2 linked regions of the Macaca mulatta genome follow. The protein of the gene in region 1 interacts with the protein of each later gene in a pairwise test. Links are inferred from orthologs where the notes say so. Each region holds a gene or a part of one and is shown in the gene's direction. Other genes may lie near its edges.

What was found.
Region 2: the proteins of AP4B1 (region 1) and ZNF576 interact in binary tests that used the Homo sapiens proteins (3 or more experiments, as listed by UniProt). The two-hybrid records come from large-scale screens. The link is inferred for Macaca mulatta from reciprocal best matches to the Homo sapiens genes AP4B1 and ZNF576.

What each region holds. Positions count from the first base shown.
Region 1 is NC_133406.1:126,344,742-126,351,974, forward strand, and holds the start of AP4B1 (AP-4 complex subunit beta-1), read left to right. Parts: upstream 1-1,281; 5' UTR 1,282-1,413; exon of another isoform or gene 1,414-1,705; intron 1,706-1,853; 5' UTR 1,854-1,929; coding exon 1,930-2,042; intron 2,043-3,783; coding exon 3,784-4,008; intron 4,009-4,774; coding exon 4,775-4,905; intron 4,906-5,278; coding exon 5,279-5,426; intron 5,427-6,565; coding exon 6,566-7,062; intron 7,063-7,233. Other genes in the region: DCLRE1B (5' exonuclease Apollo), read right to left, coding at 872-1,060.
Region 2 is NC_133424.1:56,008,837-56,019,270, forward strand, and holds ZNF576 (zinc finger protein 576), read left to right. Parts: upstream 1-4,610; 5' UTR 4,611-4,716; intron 4,717-4,747; exon of another isoform or gene 4,748-4,874; intron 4,875-5,216; exon of another isoform or gene 5,217-5,219; 5' UTR 5,220-5,231; coding exon 5,232-5,316; intron 5,317-6,959; coding exon 6,960-7,387; 3' UTR 7,388-8,541; downstream 8,542-10,434. Other genes in the region: IRGQ (immunity-related GTPase family Q protein), read right to left, coding at 163-1,504, 2,938-3,467. UniProt on the Homo sapiens protein: May be involved in transcriptional regulation.

The sequences.
Region 1 (7,233 bases):
AATAAAAAAAAAAGGTGGCGGGCACCTGTAGTACCAGGTACTCGGGAGGCTGAGGCAGGAGAATGGCGTGAACCCGGGAGGCGGAGCTTGCAGTGAACTGGAGTGCCCTCCAGCCTGGGCAACAGAGGGACACTCCGTCTGGGTGGGGTCGGGGGAGAGTTCAGCAAACAGTCTAGTCAGCAATTTTCAAACTTACTCCTGATCTTAATATCTTGGAGACTTAAGGGTGGGGTGGGGAGAGAGCTGGAGAACCACCCAGCACGTTAGGTGGATTCTTAAGATAAGGCATATTTAGGCGGGGCGTGGTGGCTCACGTTTGTAATCCCAGCACTTGGGGAGGCTGAGGCGGGCGGATCACTTAAGGTCAGGAGTTTGAGAACAGCCTGGCCAACATGGTGAAACCCCATCTCTACGAAAAATACAAAAAATTAGCTGGGCGTGGTGGCGTGCGCCTGTAATCTCAGCTACTCAGGAGGCTGAGACAGGAGAATCTCTTGAACCCGGGAGGCGGAGGTTATAGTGAGCCGAGATCGTGCCACCGCACTCCAGCCTGGCAGCAACAAGAGCGAGACTCCGTATCAGGAAAAAAAAAAAAAAAAAAGCAAGTTTGGGAAACATCAGCCTAGCTTATGTATAAAGGTAGTAATAGTTTCCTTGGCTGGACTAAAATATCTCCTCAACTTATAGCTAAATATCTCAAGTTGGTCACTTGGAAACCACGTTCCTATTCTGAGTTAAAGATGCATTTTTGGGTTCAAACAACTTCCGCATCAGTCTTGGTGGCCCCCATTCTATGACTCAAAGAATGACAGGTCGAAGTCCCAACCCAGATGCCTGGACCACCTCTTGGAGACTGACTCCAGCCCCATACCTGTAGGTGACGATGCAAGAGGTGGGCTGTAATCGGGGAGCAGTAGAGGGGCCGGGCCCAGGTGCTAGACAGGCCCACGGTGTGGTCCGAGTGCATGTGAGACAAGAAGAAGAGCCGTGCGGTGCCAGCCCGACGCAGGCTCCAGAAGTCCACTGCAATGGGCGTGTGGGGGATCAGGACCCCATTCATGGTGGCAGGGTTGTAGTCACCAGTGGGATCTTCTCCGCGGGGGCAGGGCTCCTGCGTGAGGCTTCCACAACGGCGCCCCGATAAAAGTCATGCTGGGGCAAGAACAGGGCCAGATACCCTAAGGGAAAGAGCCCAGCAGAGGAATAAGTCACTAGAGTGGGCAGAAAAAGGAAGTGACCGTGCCGGCGGGAGCCCAAATAGCGGAGGGCGCTCGACACTCCCAACCGCGCGGGAGCTGAGGCCAAGCCGGGCACTCAAAGCGCGCGCTGCTGGGAGGAGACAGGCCGAAGTAGCCGATTTCCGATTGCCCGCCGCAGCTCCACCAGAGGGAGCCGCGCGACTGCGCCTGGAGGGTGAGAGGTTGAGGGAAGGGCATCCTAAGGTCGGAGTCGGGACCAAGCTCAGCCCTCGCTCGCTGGGAGACCGGCAGCGCGCTTCTGTTTGGTCTCCTGACAAGGGGGCGGGACTTCCGCAGAAAGGAAGATTGGGCCTATCTGCGATGAGAACGGCTTGAAGGCGCAAGAAAAGCTGGAACTGGAGAGGGAGGGGTCTGCGGTCAGTCGGACGCGGCGCTGGAAATCCGGCGGAGGGCCTAGTGTTAGCGGGAGCGATCTGTGGGCGGGGCGAACGGCCTGCCGGGCGAGGGTAGGGCCTGAAGAGCCCAGGGTGGGGCTCGCGGGGTCGCGGAGGGCGTGGAAGTGTGTCAGGGCCAGCGTGCCGGCCCTACGGAAGCCGAGCCTGAGGCGAGATTTCGTCTTTAGTATTTTCACTGACTCATATTTCCTTTACTCAGGCTCCCACATCAAGACGAGAAGGAGCCCACGAGTTACCGTGGGAGCTGTGGGAGCTGCCCTGTGACTGTTAGGAAGATGCCGTACCTTGGCTCCGAGGACGTGGTGAAGGAGCTGAAGAAGGCTTTGTGTAATCCTCACATTCAAGCTGATAGGCTGCGCTACCGGAATGTCATCCAGCGAGTGATTAGGTATCACCTAACTCCCGTCGCGTGCTGTTTGCTCCCTTTGCAATCCCCATCAGGGCTCACTAGCCCCAGTCTCTCTGAAAGGGTAAATTAGCTTTCACACGTGGCAATTATATGGTTCGGTCTTCGTCCTGCTGCTTTGGAGTACCATCTCAGTCTCTCCTCTGCAGCATCTTTTACTTACCTGGGTAGTTTCCTCCATATCACAGGCTTGAACAATTACTGCTAACTCCTGGATCTATAATATAGCTAGTACAGACTTCTTTTTTTTAGCTTCAGACCCACGTATCCCACTGCCTGCTTGGCATTTCCACTTGCATGGTTTATCAAAAGTATGTCCGAAATAGCACGGACATTCTTCCGTCTTCCTCAAACCTGTTCTTCGGCTTACATTTGTGTTGATGAATGCCACCAGCAGCGACTATGCGTGGGAGCCAACCTTGAGGACACCCGATCCCCACTTCTCATGTCAGATGGTTTGAATTCATAATTCTAAATATCCACCCTCTCTTGTTTATTGGCGTTGTTGCTCTGGTCCAGGCCTTCATCACCAAAGCAATTGCAGCAGCTTACTAGTAGGCCACCTTGCCTCATTTGAGACAGAATTTTTCCATTATACAAATCTGAACATATAACTCTTGCCTACAGCTATGGTTCACAAACTTTACGGTGCACAAAAATCCCTGGGGGTGCTTTTTGTCATCCAGTCCAGGGATTGATTCTGATTTCAGTAAGGTAGGAGGGAACCCAGGAATCTGTATTTTTAATAAACATCTCAGCTGATTCCAGTAGGCGACCAGTTTGAGAAACAATGAAGTCCAAACTTACCACAGCACCCAAGGAACAAGCTGTTAATTCAACTACCTACAGACTCAAAAAAATGTATGCCACTCCTGCTCATGTCTACATACCTCATACCTTCTGTTACATCGATTACATCTGCCTAGTGAGCTCCTGCTCATTCCGGTAAAGTGTTACTTCCTCTGTGAAGAAACATTTTCTGACTTCCTGCCGGTGTTAGACCTCTGAATCCCCTCTGCGCCTTGTACAATACTTCTATTTAAATACTTATCAATCATACCATAATTAACGGTATTTTTATCTGGCTCATTAATAGATTTGAAGTTCCTAGAGGTCTGAGACCACGCCTTCTTCAAGATTATGTCCCAAGAGCATGTCCCTGGATGTAAAAGTTGAATTTCACCAAAGTACTAGGGATTCAATAAGTGTCTGTTGAGGCTGGGCACGGTGGCTCACGCCTGTAATCCCAGCACTTTGGGAGGCCAAGACGGGTGCATCACCTGCAGTCAGGAGTTCGAGACCAGCCTGGTCAACATGGCAAAACCCCGTCTCTACTAAAAATACAAAAATTTAGCCAAGCATGGTGGCACGCACCTGTGGTCCCAGCTACTCAGGAGGCTGAGGCAGGAGAATCACTTGAACCTGGGAGGCGGAAGTTGTAATGAGCCGAGATTGTGCCACTGCACTCTAGCCTGGGTAACAGAGCAAGACTCCATCTCAAAAATAATAATAAGTGTTTGTTGAATGAATAGAAGAAGAATGTTTATTGCAGGCCTATGGTATGAAGTACTGTGTGATATAATAGACAAGGTAATCCTGGCTGCTACCCTCTTAAGAGATCACAAGCTAGTTGGGTAACCAGGAGATATGTAAGTAAAACTCCCTCCATTGTTAGTTGGGGATTTTGCATTTTACTTCTTTCTGTCATGTGCGTTGGTTTCAGGTACATGACTCAGGGTTTGGACATGTCTGGTGTTTTTATGGAAATGGTGAAGGCCAGTGCCACTGTAGATATTGTCCAGAAGAAGTTGGTTTATCTGTACATGTGCACATATGCTCCCCTGAAACCAGATCTGGCTCTCCTGGCCATCAATACGCTGTGCAAAGACTGCTCAGACCCCAATCCAATGGTGCGAGGGCTGGCGTTACGGAGCATGTGTAGCCTCAGGTGAGTACCGTCTTCTCTGTCTGGTCCTAAATGGCTGATGACTTCAAGAGATCACGCAGTAGGTTTTTAAAGAGGATAATTTATTTGAGCTCCTTAATACTGGGGAAAACATTATTGTACCCTGAACTTAGATTTTCAGCCACTGCTTTGGCTTAATAACCTGTATCATATAATTTTATTACAGGGAGTTTTTGATTCTCACTCTAAGTAAAATAGTCCTCAATTTTGGTTAGATATTCCTAAACAATTATGTGTATATATTTTTTTGCTGCCTGTGCATCATTATTCCAAATGAAAAGTCAAATTAGGCTGGGCACAGTGGCTCATGCCTGTAGTCCCAGCACTTTGGGAGGCTGAGACAGGAAGACTGCTTGAGCTCAGGAATTCGAGACCAGCTGGGCAAGATGGTGAGACCCTGTATCTACAAAAAATTAAATGGGCATAGTGACACGCACCTGTAGTCTCAGCTACTAGCTAGCAAGGCTGAGGCAGGAGGATGGCTTGGGCCCAGGAATTAGAGGCAGCGGTGTCCTATGATTGGGCCACTGCACTGCAGCCTGGGTGACAAAGTGAGACCCCATCTTGAAAAAAACAAGAGAAAAACAAAAACATCAAATTATGGCTTTTTAAGCTTGATAGAGGCTTTCTGCAATTGTTCATGATCTGATGGGTGTAGCATCTACTAAACTCTGTTAGGTGAACAGGGTTTGATATATGTCAAAATTAGTATTTCCGAATCTGGCTGACTCCAGGATGTGTTGCTTAGGATGCCTGGTGTGCAGGAGTATATACAACAGCCTATTCTCAATGGTCTGCGGGATAAGGCTTCGTATGTCAGGAGAGTGGCAGTCCTTGGATGTGCCAAGATGCATAATCTTCATGGAGACTCTGAAGTAGGTAAGTTCAGTGTAATCCATCATGGTCAATGTGCCTCTATTATGTATAACTTTATAAAAGATTATGTAGCTTTGGTAGAAAATAATAATGTGGCCCCAGTTCTGTACATATCTCTTTAAGTAGGATGCAGGGCTTGGTATCTTCTGGAGATGAGAAGTCCTTTCTCTCGGGCCCCAGTGAGATCCTTTGTATTAGCTGCTTAAAACAGTCTAGACATGGCAGTTTTTTTTTTTTGCCTTGCACTTTAGTATGGCCTTTGTCATTTTTGTAGCAGAGAAGTTCAACTTTGTCTACTTGGAGCTATTACTCTGGCTACATCCCTGTTACTCTGAAGCTTTTCTTTTTTATCTAAGAACTTTGTTCTTTTTTATAGATGGTGCCCTGGTAAATGAATTATACAGTTTGCTGCGTGACCAGGATCCAATTGTAGTTGTGAACTGCTTGAGGTCTCTAGAGGAAATTCTGAAACTGGAAGGAGGCGTTGTCATCAATAAGCCCATTGCTCACCATCTCTTAAATCGGTTTGGATGCCTCAGTGCTCTTTTTATTATGAGATCTGCGTCCTTGTGGGATCTTGTTGATGTATTGAACAACTTATGTGAAGTAGAAAAGAAAGTTAACCATTATTATTATTATTTGAGACAGAGTGTTGCTCTTGTTGTCCAAGCCAGAGTGCAACGGCACTATCTTGGCTTAGCGCAACCTCCGCCTCCTGGCTTTAAGCAGTTCTCCTGCTTCAGCCTCCTGAGTAGCTGGGATTATAGGCATGCACCACCATGCCCGGCTAATTTTGTATTTTTAGCGGAGACAGGGTTTCTCCCTGTTGGTCAGGCTAGTCCCAAACTTCCGACCTCAGGAGATCTGCCCACCTTGGCCTCCGAAAGTGCTGGGATTACAGGCGTGAGCCACCGTGCCCAGCCAGTTAACCACTATTAACTCCCTCACATTTCACTAAGAGAATTTCTTTTATTTGCCTTAGTTTCCCTTATTGATATAGGGAAATAGAAATATACTGTGGGAATAGGTTCTGCCCTTCTCTAGTCATTATGTCCCCCAAAGTAAGCCATTTATAGTGTCTTAAAATGTAGGGAACCTGGACCCAGTGTATGCTGATCATGTCTTTGGTCTTAGGTGAGTGTGCATTTGTATTAACAGCTCATCTTGGAATTTTAAGCCTTTTTTGTGTAAACTTTTTTTTTTTTTTTTTTTTTTTGAGACAGAGTCTTGCTCTGTCGCCCAGGCTGGGGTGCAGTGGCCGGATCTCAGCTCACTGCAAGCTCCGCCTCCCGGGTTTAGACCATTCTCCTGCCTCAGCCTCCCGAGTAGCTGGGACTACAGGCGCCCGCCACCTCGCCTGGCTAGTTTTTTGTATTTTTTAGTAGAGACGGGGTTTCACCGTGTTAGCCAGGATGGTCTCGATCTCCTGACCTCGTGATCCGCCCGTCTCGGCCTCCCAAAGTGCTGGGATTACAGGCTTGAGCCACCGCGCCCGGCATAAACTTTAAATAGTACATGAAAAGAATGATTTAATTATGGCACAGCCTATTTTTAAGAATTCTCCCTTTGTTATGATGAACAACCAACTGGTCATATGACAGTGGCATGGAAATGGCCCTAATTTTGTTGCTAAAATAGCTCTTTTGTTTTCTTTTTTGGATAGAATGTCAAAACTGGACCAATGGGGCCAGGCTGAGGTATTGAACTTTCTGCTACGCTACCAACCCCGCAGTGAGGAAGAACTATTTGACATTCTCAATCTGTTGGATAGTTTTCTCAAGAGCAGTAGCCCAGGTGTGGTGATGGGAGCTACCAAACTTTTTCTGATCTTGGCAAAAAAGTTTCCCCATGTACAAACAGATGTGCTTGTGCGGGTCAAGGGACCTTTGCTAGCTGCCTGTTCTTCGGAGAGCCGTGAGCTCTGTTTTGTTGCTCTTTGTCATGTACGCCAGATCTTGCATAGTTTGCCAGGTCACTTTAGCAGCCACTACAAAAAGTTTTTTTGCTCCTACTCGGAGCCCCACTACATCAAACTACAGAAAGTGGAGGTGCTGTGTGAGCTGGTGAACGATGAGAATGTGCAGCAGGTGCTAGAGGAGCTTCGAGGGTACTGCACGGATGTGTCTGCGGACTTTGCACAGGCTGCCATCTTTGCCATAGGTAGGTGTCTGCTGCTTTTCCTTCTTGAGAGACCAGCCAGCGAGAAAGCTGTGGTTAAGAGGAACCATAGAGAGCAAAGGGCATGAATCTTGCTTCAGAAGCGAAGTACTATGCACTAAATAATTGGGTCAGTGACTACAAACAAGGGGGAAGAGACTTGTTTTTTTTTTC
Region 2 (10,434 bases), on another chromosome or scaffold:
AAAAAAGAAATTAGGATTCCTGTCCCCCAGACTCTCTGAATCCAGGTGATGAGAAGTCACACATCCCTGCTAGAAATCAGAGTCCACATCCCTTTCAAGCACCCAGGATTAAGCCCAGGCATCCCCTGCCACAGTCTGGACCCTCAAGCCCCCTCCCACCTCTCACTGGGCAGACTCAGGGGGTGCCAGTACAGCCTCAGCATCAGCCCGCATCTCATCCAGAGCCTGCAGCAGTACGCCGTGAGCCGCTCGGTAGCCCAGGCCACCTGTCGCCGCTGCGCCACCCGCAGGCCACAGGAAGGAGAGAGCACCCAGTGCTGCGCCCCCAGCAGTGCCCTCGCCCGCCCAGGCGCCCAGCCTTGCTTCGACCTCGGCGCGCGTCACCGGGCCTGGGAAATGAGCGCGCGCTGCCAGCTCCCCAGGAGCCAGGCCCAGGGCACGCTCACGTCGAGCCAGTGCCGCGGGTTCCAGTCCCAGGCCCCGTCGCCACTCCGCCAGCTGACCCCGCAGAAGTGCCACGTCGCATGCCCAGCCCAGCCCTGGGAGTGGTGCCGCCGCCGCTGCCAGACTAGCCAGCAGAGCTGGCCTCCACGCCCCGGCCCGCAACGCCGCAGCCTTGGTTCGGGCAGCGCTGGGAGATGCTGGTGGCAGTGCCAGCAGCAGCGCCCCTGCCTGGGCTGGGGGGAGCGCTTGCCGCAGCCATTCGCATAGCCCTGGGAGTCCACCAGGCCGTAGGGGGAACACTGGCGGCGGTGCCTCCTCCAACACCTCCCACGTCTCGTCCTCCGGGCTTAACACGGCGGCCCGCTCTGAGTCGCCACCACCTGATTTCTTCATGCCGACAACCTGCTGCAAACCCTCGCTGCCAGCTTTCTCAGGACCTTCCCCGCTGCCTGCTTTCTGCGATCCAGCGCTACATTTCTCCCTTCCCTTACTGAGTGCATTCTCCAATCCCCCTCCGCCTGCGTTCTTTAAGCTCTCGCCGTTGGGTTTCTCCATCTTTCCTTCTCCCAAATACTCCGGATCCTCGCCCTCGCCGTCTGTGCGCACGCAGACAAGAGGCGCATCTGGTAGCACCAAGGCCTGGACCTGGGCCCAGTCCTTCTCAGTGGGGGCCCCAGGGGTGACGAGGATGAGGGCGTCGTAGTGCGTTGGGTGAGAGGCTGCGGCCGCGGTGGTGGCAGTGCCCGTGGGACCCAGAGGCACAGTCCAGAGCACCACATTCGGGCGCTCTGGGGCCGGGAAGGGAGTGGGCCCCGTGGGCGCCGAAGCAGGCGCAGCACCTGGGTCGCCAGGATCCAATCCAAGCAGCATGTCCACCACAAGGCCCACGTCAGCCTTGCCGGCCACGGCCAAGTCTAGCCGTGCGCTGCCCAGGCGCTCCAGGCCTGAGCGCACCCACGACAGCGCAGCCTCCAGGCCGCCGGTCTCAAAGGCCTCACGCACAGCCTCCAGCTCTGCTGCACCCAGCACCTCGAAGCCATCCTGGGCCGGGGGCAGGAGCCTGTGGGGACAAGAAGGGTCAGGGTCAAAGGCAGAAGAGGGGCTGGGTGACATGGACTGGGCTATGAATGACAAGGGCGGAGCTTTCCTAATGATCCCAGAATGGGGCAGGGATAGGAAAGGGAAAGGCCAGACTGACGGCAAGGCAAACAGAAACCAGATGGGGAGGGGCCATGATGATATGGGCGGGGCTTCAAGCAATAATGGAGTCTTGATTATTGAACAGGTGGACTTAAGGGCAGGTTTCCCACTCTAGCCTAAAATGGGGATTGGGCTAAGACTTCCATGGAATACAGTATTTGGGGGCGGGGCTTTTCCAAGGGTCGGCTGTGCTGGGTGGGACAAAACTCAGAGAAGGTGGGGCCTAGAACAAAGAATCGCAACTGTATTGTGGCCTAAACACAAGTCCAGCACTATTTGAGACAGACAAGGTCGCCAAGGCACTCTTTTCAGAGGCTGGGCCTAAGGAGGGTCAGTGAGGGGAGAAATTTCATCTACTAGTTCTTACCAAGGGGGAGTGGCTAAGGTGACTCCCCACCAGGTGAGGCTAAGGAAAAAAGATGATAGTGTACTAGGACAAGGGACTGTCCCTCTCTGAGCCTCATTTTAAAGTCTGTAAAATGAGGAGGCTGGCAGGTGGTAGAGCAAATTCAGGAGGTAGCCAGCAAGTGGGCACAGAAACGAGAGGGAGCTGGAGAAAGGAGGTGGATGAGGATGCCCCAAGATCCTCATTGCTGGTGTGGCTTTAGGTCACTTGAAAACCAAACTGATGGTGGGGAGGGCTCAAGGATTAGAGTTTTCAGGTAAAATCTTCCAGGGGGCTGGGCAAAGTGCCTCACGCCTATAATCCCAGCACTTTGGGAGGCCAGGGAGGGCGGATCACCTTGCTTGGGGCAGGGCCTAGAAAAAGGAGCCTCAGGGCCCCAGCAGATAAAGTGTTAAGATTTTCCCTTTTAATCCTAGGGCTTTGGGAAGCCTGGGTGGGGGCATGGCTTGAGGCCAAGAATTTAAGACCAGCCTGGGGAAACAGTGAGATCCTGTTTTGCAGCCTGTCCTATTAGCTACTCTGGAGGCTGAGGCAGGAGGATCATTTGAGTCCAGGAGGTGGAGGCCCTCAGTGAGCTAGGATAGCAGCACTGCACTCCAGCCTGGGCGATAGAGTGAGACCCTGTCTCAAAAAAAAAAAAAGGCCGGGTGTGGTGGTTCACGCCTGTAATCCTAGCACTTTGGGAAGCTGAGGCGGGATTATTGCTTAAGGCCAGGAGTTCAAATTCAACCTAGTCAACGTAGCGAGACCCTGTCCCTTGGGAAAAAAATAATAATAATAGAGCTAAGCTTTTGCCCCAAACTCACTGGGGAAGGGATCTCATGGATCTCAAATAGGACCTAGGTGTGCAGGGTCTCAACTAAGGGACCAAGCCAGAAAGCACTCACCTCCGCAGCGCTTCTGCCTGGCTCTGCAGCGCCGCCCGGAGGCGCTCTAGCTCCTCGCAGCCGTCGCTGCTGCCGCAGTTCGCCGGTAGCACAAACAGATCCGCAGCTCCCAACCCCGCGCTGTTCAGCAGAGCTGCTGTCTGATCACGGGCCTGGGCCGCAGTCTGTGAATCCCCAGGACGGAGGTTCCGCACAGCCAGTAGCGGGGTCCCTCGGGCCAGGGCGGCCCGCGCTGCCTCTCCCAGGGCTGCAGCCAAGGGTTCCCCGTTCCCCTCGGGTCCGGGCAGCACCAGTACCAGCACGTTGGCTTCAGCCGCCCAGGGCCCCGGCGTTGCAGGTGGGCAGCTCAGCTCGCCCAGAAAAAGGCCTGGGCCCGCAGCTCTTAGGCTGGGAACCCCGGAGTCCGGCCGTCCCTCGGGGGCCTCGAGCGTCTCCACATCCTTGTCGCACAGCGCCGCGATCAGCGCGGACTTCCCCAAGCCAGGAGGCCCCAGGAACAAGGCGGTCACGTCACCCTGCGGCGGAGGCATGGCTGGAAAGCAACGGGTGGAGAAGACCTGGGTCAGGGAGCACCTAGCCTTTTCCTTTCCTAGCCGCCCCACTCGGAACAAAGGCCTCAGTCCTCCCCCCGGTCCCCTTCGGTTCTTGAGTGTCTCTCTCCAGGACCTAAAAAATCCAGAGCCCAGACCCTATTCCCCAGGGATTCCAGGCGCCCTGTCTGTCCGCCCTCTTTCTAGATGGAAACGTTTCCCTTTCTGCTTCAAAAACTCTGAAATCAGGCGCGGTGGCTCATGCCTGTAATCCCAGTGCTTTGGGAGGCCGAGGCGGGAGGATCGCTTGAGGCCAGGAATTCGAGACCAGCCTGGCCAACATGTGGGACTCTCTGGTAGAGTCTCCGTCTCCACAAAAAATAAAATTTAGCCGGGCCATGGTGGCGTGCGCCGGTAGCCCCAGCTACCCGGAAGGCTGCGGCGGTAGGATCGCTTGAGCCCAGGAGTTGCAGGCTGCAGTGGGCAGTGATCACACCACCGCACTCCAGCCCAGGCGACAGAGCAAGACACTCTCTCAAAAATAAATAAATAAAAATAAAACCTCAGAAATCTGGCTTCCAGTCCCTCCTCCCTCGGACGCATTGTTATTTTTATCCTTCCCCTTCCCCCTTCCACATCACAAACCGAGCAAAAAGCAGACCCACGGGATGAGCGCAGTCGGTGGCGGTGGGTCAGCAACTGAGAAGCCCGACCCCTCGGCCGCAGCGGACGGAGGCCGAAGAGGCCAGGGCGCGGTGATTTAAAGATGCCGGGACGCGTCCCAGTAGCTTTAACCTGACGTCACTCCCTCTTCCAAGGGGGTGTGTCTTGGAAGCGCTACCGCAGAGACCTAGCCCTTCGCAGCGCCTGCGCAGAACGGCCGAAGTGCTCACGCCCCTGTTCGGCGGCCTCGGGGCCTCGAACAATGAAGGAGTCAACGCGCCTGCGCACCACGAGCACCTACCCAGACTTGCGCAAAAAGCTTCGGTACCTACGCCGCGGGAGGGTGAACGTCATCATAACGCACCATAGTGCAGAGAAGGACCCCTCCCGTTATTTTGAGGACCGGACTGGTGCGACTATACTACTGCCGGATGCCAAATCCGGGATCTCGGCTCCGAGAGGCTCATCTGGCAAAAGGGCGCGGAAACCACGGGGGCCCTGAGACTGAGTGGGCTATCCCACTTCTCTCTGGGTGGCGGGGCTGTAGCTAGCGACTGACAGGCGCAGCGAAAGGCAGCCCTCTGCTGTACGGAGGAAAACTGAGGCCTGGGAGCAGGAACCTGTAGGCAGCGCTTGAGGGTAGCGGGATAGCAGCTGCTAGTGCGCGTGGGAGGCGGGGGCTCTGGGCGGAACAAAAATCACAGGATGTCAGAGGATGTTTCCCGGGAAGAACTGGAATAAAGGGTGGGTATCACTACCTGCCCCAAGATACTTGAGACTGGGATGACGCTGGTGTCAAAGATCAAGACTCCCACGCTGAGTTCAGGGAGTTAGTTTGATGCAGCAGGTCATAGGTCACACCAGTGAAAAGACTCTTGAGTCCCAAACCCAGGAAGTCTTTTGGGAGGTTTGAAGCTTCTCTTAGCAAGAACTCCATCAATTAGAGTTCAAGGAGATAGTATGTCGTAAGGGTCAAAAGCAGGCAAGGAGAGCCTATGGCGATGTCAAAGGTCATAGACTTAGGGTGCCCTCTAAGACTGGTAACAGATGAACAGCTTCACTCATGCACGCTCCTCTCCTGACTAGAAGGGTCCCAGCACCATGGAGGACCCGAACTCTGAAGAGAACATGAAGCAGCAGGATTCACCCAAGGAGAGAAGTCCCCAGAGCCCAGGAGGCAACATCTGTGAGTACACATGGCTGGCTGGCTAGAGGAGGGCGGGGTGCAGGAGCTGATGCTAAGAAGATCTCTGTGGCACTTCAGTGTCCAAGGCGCCACAGAGTTTTGCCTGTTGAGAAGGGGCTGTAATGGTCCCTGAGCTGCCCTAGCAGGAAGTGCATCTCCTCACACCGGCTTATGTGGCCAGAGTACTCACCCTCCTCTGGCCACATAAGCAGGATTGCAACGCTTATGCATTCAGAGGGATAGGGTGGCTTCCAAGAGAGGCTTGGGTTGGAGACGTGGCTGGGAATGGTTCTATTGGGAGAAAAGCCCCAAGATTCTGGTCCCACCTGTGTCCTAGACTTTCAGTGTAACTTGAGCCTTGGTTTCCCTGACTGTCAAAAGAGGGTGGCACTATCCACCTCACAGGGTGGTTATGGGATTAACTGCAGCAAAGGGGAAAGCCAGGGGTTAATGATGGTAGCCAGTTTGCCATGTAATAGCAACACCTCCTGCTGTTTTATTATGAGCTAGGTGTACTTATTCTCATATTATGAACGATTTTAACATTCATTATCTCATTCAGTCCTTCTAATAATAGGCCCTTTAAACTGGGAACTGAGGCAGAGAGAGGTATTTGTAACAAGAGCTGTAGTCTCAATGCCCTTGAGCCTGAGATTACCGGAAACACACGTGCAGTTGAACACGTTGGGTTTATTTCTCGCTGCAATGAAGAACACACACCATGGGGGAACTGTGGGGTGTCTCACTAAGAGTGGTAAAAACGACATAGGATTTGGGCTTGTGGGTGGTGATTTTGGGGAATGTGCGAGCAAAATTGTTTTGCTGTGGATTGGATGCTACCAGGAAGCAGGGGCAATTCTATGATTGGCTATCGTAATAAATCTTATCCAGAAGGAGGAAGGAAGAAGGCAAGGCTCAAGCTCTGACTGATAAAGTAGCAGCAGACATTCACATGAGCCAGGATAGGAGGATGTTTGGTCATTTTTCTGCTTGGACAGCATTCATATTTTGTCTGTGCTCAGACATTATTATGATATAGTCTTGTCTTGATTCATTCTAGTCACAGCATGACCTTGTCTGTCCTTGATATTTTGTGAAAATTTATGTTCAACAGAACACCAAGGTCTAGCTGTGAGTACCAGGCCATATCCTGGATGTCGGGCTGGATTTCTCTGTTATCATTAGTCATAATTGCAAATGACTGTACAGCAATTCATTTATTCCTTCCAACAGTCCTATGGAGTAGATACTGTTATTAGCCCATTTTCCAGATAAGGAAACTGGTGTAATTGCCTAGGAAGTGGTGGAGCTGAGATTCAATCCCAGGCAGTCTGGCTCCAAAGGCTGTGCTGTAATCACCATACCCCTCTGTTGGGCAGGCTGACTCTCTGGGTTCCAACCCTGACTCCACCATTTCCTTTCCTAGCCTCATTGACTATGGGCAACTTGCCTAATCTCTTTGAATCTCAGTTTGCTCATCCATAAAATAGGTCCAAGAACAGTTCTCCTGTTTGGTTGTCCAGCATTAGCATAGAACCGAGCACATAGCACACTCAATGTTAATTGTTGGTATGATTCTGGGGTTCAGGAGAGGTCCTGGAGACTCCTGCCGGCCTCCCCTGACCTCTCCGCACATCTCTCAGGCCACCTGGGGGCCCCGAAGTGCACCCGCTGCCTCATCACCTTCGCAGATTCCAAGTTCCAGGAGCGTCACATGAAGCGGGAGCACCCAGCGGACTTCGTGGCCCAGAAGCTGCAGGGGGTCCTCTTCATCTGCTTCACCTGCGCCCGCTCCTTCCCCTCCTCCAAAGCCTTAATCACCCACCAGCGCAGCCACGGTCCAGCCGCCAAGCCCACCCCACTGGTTGCAACCACTACTGCCCAGCCCACCTTCCCTTGTCCTGACTGTGGCAAGACCTTTGGGCAGGCTGCTTCTCTGAGGCGGCACCGCCAGATGCATGAGGCCCGTGCCCCTCCTGGCACCTTCGCCTGTACAGAGTGCGGTCAGGACTTTGCTCAGGAAGCAGGGCTGCATCAACACTACATTCGGCATGCCCGAGGGGAGCTCTGAGTGCAGCTTAAGCGTCTCCGTGGTGACAGGTGGCTCTGTGGCCAGTAGGACTCACCCATGATACGGGGTGCAGGAATTCCGGGGGCCCTGAGGGATTTGCTTCCCTCCCCTGGGAAGGCAGAGGGCTCCTAATAAAGAGGACCCAGAAGATTCTCATTTAGAGCTTCAGTCTTTGGAGGACACAGGGCCTTCGTGAGACAGTGAAATCAGACAATAACGAGATCTTTCGTTAAAAAAAAAAATGGGAATGGAGTGCGGGAGAGAAATGGTTTGTGTCTCCCTTATTCCCAGTTAAACACCTAGCTGCAGACTGTGTCATCACCCTTCATTCTTCCCAGATGGATGCCATGGGCAATGGAAGCAAAATGCCCCGGACCTTTGCCTGAATGGGGGCAGGGAAGGTGAGGTGTTGCTGGCCTGTAATGCCACCAGATGAGTTCCAGATGTGGAGCAACTTGGGCTTTTGGGGATGGGGCAGCACAGTTGGGAGCTGGACCCCAATTGAGTGGGGTGGCAATTGGAGTCCTTGTGTCTCTTTCCCACCCCCTGCCAACCTCACTCAGAGGGGCCATGGCACTAGATGGCACTAGTCCCCCGATAATTTATGTCTCATTTAAATAATTTTGTATATCATTCTGGTCATGAAATATTTTTTCATATGTGTAGGTGAAATGGTATGAATAAGCTAACAGGAATAGTATCTAAAAACAGAAAACATCCATATTAAAATGTCTAAACAGGGAGCTCTGGCTTTTGAGTGGGAATTTCCAGAGAACATAAGGGTGTGGGCAGGTGGGGGAACTCAGGCCAGAGTTGGCCTTGCTTTGTGGGGAAACTGGTTTGGAATCAAACAGAGATACCTTCTGTTTCGGATTTTATTTGGCCAACACTGGGAGATTTCCCATTAAGATCCTATTTTCAGCTCTCTTGAAAGGCCCAACCTAGGGTGACATTGTCAGCAGGGGCAGGGCAGAAGCTACAACAGGCTGGAGGGGAACAGTGGGTGTCATCCTCAACTGGAGATGAGTCCCATCAGGCCAGTTTTACCCCCTTAGTTACCTGCCCTGCACTTGCAGACAATGGTCAATGCCCTGCATATAATACTTATAGACTCTGTTTATGTTGAGGGATGTTTTTAAAGCCCAGGTGAGGTGGATGTGGTAGACTGATCACTGTCTCTCAGTTTTTAGCTAGGCACATGGTAGCTGAAAAGACTACATTTCCCAGATTCCTTCGCAGCTAGATGTAGCCATGTGACTGATTCTGGCTAAATTCCTGGGTAGAACACTCAAGCTTAAGAAAGGGACGGCGGGGCACAGTGGCTTACACCTGTAATCCCAGCACTCTGTGAGGCTGAGGCTGGTGGATCACCTGAGGTCAGGAGTTTGAGACTAGCCTGGCCAACATGGTGAAACCCCATCTCTACTAAAAATACAAAAATTAGTCAGGTGTGGTGGCATACACCTGTAACCCCAGCTACTTGGGAGGCTGAGGCAGGAGAATTGCTTGAATTTGGGAGACAGGCTGCAGTGAGTCAAGATCATGCCACTGCACTTCAGCCTGGGTGACAGAGTGAGACTCTTTTTTAAAAAAAAGAAAAGAAAGGGACATACCTTTTTTCCACCTTCCTAACTGTAATACAGACATAGTATCCAGCCATCTCAGACCATAAGGACAAGAACGACACATGGGATGGCAGAGCAACAAGACAGCAGGAGCCTGGGTCTCTGGTCAATTTCAGGGAGCACAGCCACCATACCAGCCCACTTCCATATTGCTATCTAAGAAAGAAAGAAACTTCTAATTTAAGCCATCATTATTCTGGGTTTCTGTCACGTGCAACAGAATTTACAGCCTAAGACAGGGGTCTGCAAACTATGGCCAACTCTAGCCTGCTGCCTGATTTTGCAAATAAAATTTTATTTGAACACAGTTTTATACTCATTCACTTATGTATTGTTGATGGCTACTTTTGCCTAGAACAGCAGATCTGCATAGTTGCATCAGAGATCTTATGGTTTCCAAAACTTAAAATAGTTACCATCTAGCCCTTTGCAGGAGAAGTTTGCCAACCCCTGGTCTAATAAGACATTCAACCTACTCTGAGTCTGGAAGCAGAAATTTCGATCCTGGGAACCACTACCTTTACCAAGTAGGTAGGTAGGGTGTGTGTGTGTGTTTTGGGACAGGGCTACCCTGGATCTCTTTGCTGGGGTGACTTATAGGGAGACTGGTTGGAGTTAGTAGACCATCAGTTTTTTTCAAGATACCAACTTCATGAAGAGCCAGATATTTCCTCTGGCTCCTGGTGAACGCTCAGAAGTTTCCAACCCGGATATTTTCACACTACCCCCACAGTGGCTCCCCTAAACCCAAACCTAAGGATCTAATCCCACATGCTCTCCCAAGATAGCAGCCTGCCCAAGTACACTCTGGGCTTCCTGTTCTCTCCAGACGTCACAGATTCTCTAAATAGCATCACTGATGACTTCCACATTTTTATCTGCAGCCCAAACCCCAGACATAAGATACAACCATTTGAATAAACAAATGGAGATCTCAAACTTAAAATAGGTCAACATGACTCCTGTGGCCCGACCTGCACCACTGCCATCATGTTAGTAAAAAACTGTGCACTCTTTTAAATTCTTTTGAGTCTTGCTCTGTCTCCCAGGCTGGAGTGCAGTGGCGTGATCTCGGCTCACTGAAGCCTCCGCCTCCTGGGTTCAGGCAATTTTCCAGCCCCAGCCTCCCGAGTAGCTGGGATTACAGGTGTGCACCACTACAACTGGCTAATTTTTGTATTTTTAATAGAGACGAGGTTTCACTATGTTGCTCAGGCTGATCTCAGACTCCTGGCCTCCAGTGATCCGCCCACCTGGGCCTCCCAAAGTGCTGGGATTATAGGTGTGAGCCACTGCACCTGGCCTTCATTTTTTTTGAGACAGGGTCTCACTGTGTAGCTCAGGATAGAGTGCAGTTGCAAAATCTCGGCTCACTGCAGCCTTGACCTCCTCGGGCTCAGATGATCCTCCCACCTCCGCCTC